2 linked regions of the Sus scrofa genome follow. The protein of the gene in region 1 interacts with the protein of each later gene in a biochemical or structural test. Links are inferred from orthologs where the notes say so. Each region holds a gene or a part of one and is shown in the gene's direction. Other genes may lie near its edges.

What was found.
Region 2: of the proteins of CUL2 (region 1) and DCUN1D4, one has a biochemical effect on the other in vitro, tested with the Homo sapiens proteins (2 studies listed by BioGRID, with this or other methods). The link is inferred for Sus scrofa from reciprocal best matches to the Homo sapiens genes CUL2 and DCUN1D4.

The regions. Positions count from the first base shown.
Region 1 is NC_010452.4:57,731,889-57,735,388, reverse strand, and holds part of CUL2 (cullin-2), read left to right. Parts: intron 1-3,029; coding exon 3,030-3,126; intron 3,127-3,216; coding exon 3,217-3,327; intron 3,328-3,500.
Region 2 is NC_010450.4:39,055,685-39,058,451, forward strand, and holds part of DCUN1D4 (DCN1-like protein 4), read left to right. Parts: intron 1-1,540; coding exon 1,541-1,643; intron 1,644-1,750; coding exon 1,751-1,806; 3' UTR 1,807-2,767. UniProt on the Homo sapiens protein: Contributes to the neddylation of all cullins by transferring NEDD8 from N-terminally acetylated NEDD8-conjugating E2s enzyme to different cullin C-terminal domain-RBX complexes which are necessary for the activation of cullin-RING E3 ubiquitin ligases (CRLs).

The DNA.
Region 1 (3,500 bases):
AAGGTTTCACTAAAAGATAAATTTGCTCATTGCCACATAACAGAATCAGGGCTGCTGAGAGTTCCAGCTGACTTCTAATAACCATCTGATCTGCTCTCTGAGTTAAACTGGCTTTAAATGTCTTGGGTCTTGGTTTTGTTATTTATTTATTTATTTATTTATTTATTTTTGGTCTTTTTGTCTTTTCTAGGGCTGCATCCGCGGCACATGGAGGTTCCCAGGCTAGGGGTCTAATCCGGGTGTAGCTGCCAAGCCTACGCCAGAGCCACAGCAACGTGGGATCCGATGGTTCTTAGTCAGATTCCTTAACCACTGAGCCATGACGGGAACTCCGTGTCTTGGTTTTAAAATCAAAGTCAGGGCTTTTTTTGTTGTTGTTTCTTAGCTTTTTGTTGTTGTTTCTTAGCTCTGTTTTACTGAAAATGCTTCTGTTTTCCTCCTATCTGTACTTAAAATACTGGCTTACTAACAGTTCACTTGTGTACCAGGCACTGTGCTACGTGCTTCCTCGGGTTATACTTAACCTTTACCATTTCCTGTGAGACCAGGTACTTTTATTATTCCACCTTCCAGAAGGGGACACCTCTGAGTACTAGGAGGTTCAGCATCTGCACAAGGTGACATGTTAATACAGCCAGAACTTGAACCTAGGCAGTCTGACTCCAAAGTCCTGGTCTTGAGGGCTGTGATAAACTATTCCAGTCAGTTTGCATCCTCCCAGCTGAGTGATTTCATTATGATTGTTGTGGGCATTTCCATTTAGTTCTGTCATGATCAAATAATGAGCCAAATTTCTAAAAATTCCTCATTCTTTGCTCAAGGCTCATCTCCTGGGATCACCATTCGTACATGGGACTGGTGCTTGTTCAGATGACTGGTTTAGTCAGGCTTTTATATATTACTACTTTAGCATCACTTCATAGTTTGTTTTCATTATCTGTCAGCCTAATAGAAATAAATTATAATGATTTTTCTCTAGTATCTTTTGTACAGTTATAAAAATATATGCTGATCTTCAAGATGGAATAATTATGCCTCAGAGTTTCTGAGTTCAGATGTTATTCTTACAGAGCAGACAGCCTAGTTTTTAAGCACTGGGACTATCGATGTTCTTTCTAGGCTCTACTTATCCCATTTCAGATTCTCTGGGCCTTTTGAGATCCAGAAACAAATGGCAGGAGTGCTGAGAGTAGCAGGAGTGGACGTTTTCCTGGTGCTGAGGAGGGCAGTAGGATTTGGTCATGAATATAATTTAGGTAACCTGATTTTTCAAATATTTAGGTATTTCTCACTCTTGACTGATTTTCACTTGGTCCCAAAGTCGAAACGCAAAAAGTGATTCACCCCAAATTGATAGACTAAGTTATTAGATCATTATTTCACCAGATTTAATTTAGGCTCAAGAGGGAAGGTCAGCAGAGGGAATGAGCTCACTGCGGGTCACCTTGTATGAACTCAGCCTTCTTATTAGTGATACCGAAATGTAGACTTTGTAACTAAGATTCCCAGACTGACAGGAGCACTGTAGCCATGTTAACTCAGCACAGAAAACTTCCCCAGAACATCCAGATAATTAAAGGGAGAAGGAAGGAGGATGAGAGGGAGGCGAGGGTCGGGGAGAGGGGGAGGGCACTGATTTATAAAGGTAATTTCCTCAATACTGTTCTTTTTCATCTTTTATTTTATTTATTTATTTTTTGCTTTTTGGGGCCTCATGTGTGGCATATGTAAGTTCTTAGGCTAGGGGTCAAATCGGAGCTCCAACTGGCCTACGCCACAGCAACACCAGATCTGAGCCATGTCTGTGACCCATACCATAGCTCACACTGATGCTTGGATACTCACCCTGCCTAGTGAGGCCAGGGATTAAACCCGAGTCTTCATGGATACTAGTTGGGTTTGTTAATCGTTGAGCCACAATGGGAATTCCAGTCAGTACTTCTATTTTTTTTTGTTTTGCTTTTTTAGGGCCACACCTGTGGCATATGGAGGTTCCCAGGCTAGGGGACTAATCGCAGTTACAGCTGCCGGCCTACACCACAGCCACAGCAACGCCAGATCTGGGCCGCATCTGCGACCTACACCACAGCTTACGGCAACGCTGGATCCTTAACCCACTGAGCGAGGCCAGGGATTGAACTCTCATCCTCATGGATCCTAGTTGGATTTGTTTCCACTGTGCCATGGTGGGAACTCCAATACTTCTCTTAAATATGAGAAAATCCTTGTATCAAAACAAGGAGATTTTACTAGGAAATGATGATCATGTATTTTTTTGTGACTTTCTTTGTAAAATAATTACTAATTCAAAGGAAAAAACTAAAGTGAGATGCATAATTAGCAAGAGAGGTAAACCTTTGACTGTGTAATGGTTTGATCTGAGCATTACTATTGGAGCCAGAAACTCCCAGCATAGAGCCAGACTGTTTTACAGTGGCTTTAGGAAAACCCCTTTTTTCCCTTATGTTATTTTCCTGTTTTTGTAGTTAGAAAAGCCACAGTTCACTGCCATTTCTTATTGTGGTTCAGACTTGCATCCCAGTAGTGCCCTTGACTAAGTAGGAACTTAGCCAAGTGTCACATGATTTTAGATCGCTTTGCTAACTGTAAAGGAATGTAGAAATGTTAAAACATATCTTACTACCTTTCTAGGTAGACTATTTAATATTAAATAAATTAATACTAATATTAAAACATATCTCACCAAGTTTCTAAGTAGAGAAGTACCTTTGTGCTTACATGAAATAAATACCGTCTTAGTATCAACATAGTATCTTTAATTTTACAATTAAAGCTTTCCTGTTTATTGAAATGTCATCCAATGTGTCCATTAACTATCATAAATATTATTAATTCAGCTGTGATATAAAAAATTATTTTTAAGTATCATGTGGGCATTGGGCTTTAAAATGCTTTATATATAATGTGATTAGACCAATAGCGTAAGCAGCCATAGTTTGGTAAGCTTTGGTATATTTCTGTAGATACTTGTATTTTCAAGAATGTTTGGTGTTACACCTTTGTTTCAGTGATCGTGGTGGAGAAGACCCAAACCAGAAAGTAATCCATGGGGTTATTAACTCCTTTGTTCATGTTGAACAGTATAAGAAAAAATTCCCCTTAAAGGTAAAAAGCCTTCTTTAAAAAAAAAAAATTAGACTTTTAATTTCTTAAGTTGCTTGTTCTAATTTTTAAATATGATTTAATTGATTTTAGTTTTATCAGGAAATCTTTGAGTCTCCCTTTCTGGCTGAAACAGGAGAGTATTACAAACAAGAAGCTTCAAATTTATTACAAGAATCAAACTGCTCACAGTATATGGAAAAGGTAAGAAAGAAAACATATTATATATCAGGCACGGTGTTACATAACATTTTTATCTTAGTTAATATTTTTTTGTGGAAAAATTTCTGGTTTGTTTGTTTAATCATTGTACCTGTTGATAAGCTGTTGTTCTTGCTGTGCCTGTCTCCATGAGAAAAAGTGCTATTCCAATTTTC
Region 2 (2,767 bases), on another chromosome or scaffold:
ACCACAGCTCAGGCAATGCCAGATCCTTAACCCACTGAGCAAGGTCAGGGATCGAACGCACAACCTCATGGTTCCTAGTCAGGTTCGTTAACCACTGAGCCACGATAGGAACTCCAATGAATTTTTAATATGAGAAGTATTTGTTTACCTGACAATCCATATTTACCAACAATCTGTCCCAGTTCCTCTGACAACCCTAAGAAACATTAGCTTTATTTGGAAAATAAGTAGAAATGGGTTGTTGTTCTCAGAGAGGTGAGCAGCCTTAGAGCCCGGGTGTGAAGGTTCTGCAGCTCAGCGACCTTGCTGCCAGCAGATTGGACTTTGCACCATTCCAGAGCACCATCAACTGTTTCGATGACTGGGTTTTGCTTTTAGTTGCTCAGAAAGTTAAATTTGTAGACTGCTTTGTTCTCTCTCTTGTATTAGTTTGCATTTTTCTTTCTAAAGGACACAGTCATCCTTTCATTTGAGTTTTTCTTGTGTTTGCGCTCTCCCAACCCTTGGCTCAACCCTCCTTGCTTTTTATGTACTTGCATTGTTTTCTAATGTTCCCAGTTTTAGTGGGAAGAATTTAAAAATTGTTGGACTAGGTTTTATTTTTAAATCTTGATACAGGAATACTTCACTTTAAAATATGCATGTGGTGGAGTGCCCATTGTGGCGCGGCGGTAACGAATCCGACTAGTATTCCCGGAGGATGCGGGTTCAGTCCCCGGCCTCACTCAGTGGGTTAAGGATCCGGTGTTGTTGCCGTGAGCTGTGGTGTAGGTCGCAGACGCGGCTCGGATCCCGAGTTCCTGTGGCTGTGGTGTAGGCCGGCAGCTGTAGCTCTCATTCGACCCCTAGCCTGGGAACTTCCATGTGCTTTGGGTATGGCCCCGAAAGGCAAATGAATAAATGAATAAATGATACATATATATATGCACGTGGCATATGCTTGACTGGGAAGAAAACTATTTCACAGCTACTGCAAGTTCTTTTGTGATCAGATTCAAATTCTGAATGATTGGAACAGTCACTCTCTTCAGCAGCCAGAGCGCCTGGTCCGAGACGGCTCGCAGCACTCAGCAAGGTCAAGTTGAGTCAACCCACTGCTGCGTGTGCCGTCAGGCGACAGATGGCTTGACAGCGAGCAGGCTGTTCCCATCAGGGGCTGTTAATGGGAGCGCCTCTTTATTTAGCACTTACTTTGTGCCAGGCTCTAAACGAAGGGCTCTCCATCAATTGTCTCTTTTAATCCTTGCCACATCTCCGTGAAATAGGTGTTAGCCCCCCTTTATATAAAAAGGCTTTGGCCATACTTAAAATTGGGGTGCTTTGATGGGCTTGTCGGTTTGTGTTGAGCCCCCCAAAATGTTTACATCCTGAAAATCGTCTTCTGAAGTTCTCCTCTTGCTCGCGCTCTCTCTCACCCTTGTCGGCCGGTGAGAGAGTGAACCTTCGTGCGCTTTATTAAGTCGATGGTTACCAGCACTTGCAACGGTCCCGTTTGCTCATTGTGAGCGTCAGTAACGTCTGTTCCTTTTCCCTCTGTCAGCAATCAAAATATAAAGTGATTAACAAAGACCAGTGGTGCAACGTGCTAGAGTTTAGCCGAACAATTAACCTTGACCTCAGCAACTACGACGAAGATGGAGCGTGTAAGTACAGCGCCGGCCCGCTCCTCCCGCGTCGCCGCCCCTCTGCTCATCTGCCTCGTGAGAATCCTCATGGCCGTGTTTTTTTCTCTCTCCCTCTCTCTCTTCAGGGCCAGTTTTGTTGGACGAGTTTGTGGAGTGGTATAAAGACAAGCAGATGTCCTAGGACTTTATGCATAGCAGCGAGAGAGTCACTGTTACCACAGTTCTGTCAACCATTAGCCATAAATTGCTGTTTGTATCCAAGCGCATGCTGCTTTTCTTGCACTGTCTCCGTTTGGCAGGGACATGTTGGTGTTTGCCATGAATGGGCCAGCTCTGCTTGCTGTGTAGCATTGTTCTCTTGGAAGGCTGCTTTGCAGTTTGTATTTACACTACAGATTGGTGAATTTGCCAACGTCCTCACTGTGATGATGTGTATATTGCTGTTTAAATTTTGTATATGTGTATAAAAAGAAAAAGCTTCACCTAGAGATTATTTCTGCAAAAATGTAAAATAATCTTTGTGGCATATTTCTAGTCCCTTTTTTCAAATGAACCAGTTATACTTTTATTTGGTCTCAAATGTAGCATTTCAGAAGACAAGACAGAACAGCGGTTACCATATGCAGGTGTTGCCAGAATTCACCTTGTTGTTTAAGAGGCCAACTTGTGGAAGGAGGTGGGAGTCATAACTTTTCAGAGGCATATGCCAAAAGTAACTTGGTTTACCTAAATATTAGCATTTTTAAATGATGAAAGTTAGAATAATCGAACCACATAGACACATGCCACGCCACCAATCATTTCCGCCACGCAGGGTATAGGTTTTGATTTTCTAATGTTAAACCTGTCATAGTTTGAATATAGGTACAGATGAACAAATTGAAGTTGCACCTTCTCCCCCCCCCCCCCCCCGCATTGGTTTTAAACTCTTATAAATTTTTTTTTTAGTGTTTTTTTGTTTTTTTCTTTTGCATTCTTTTAGTCAGTGTTTGGTCTGCTGATGCTTTCAATGCCATTCTAAGTAAAATTTATTTTGCTGCCTCCATGAAAACCTAATGGTTTGCTGGCAATTTGTCACCGCAGAGCACTTTTAGTTGTGGCTTGAATTTTTAGTTAAGTTTTCATGGTGTCTAATTTGTGAA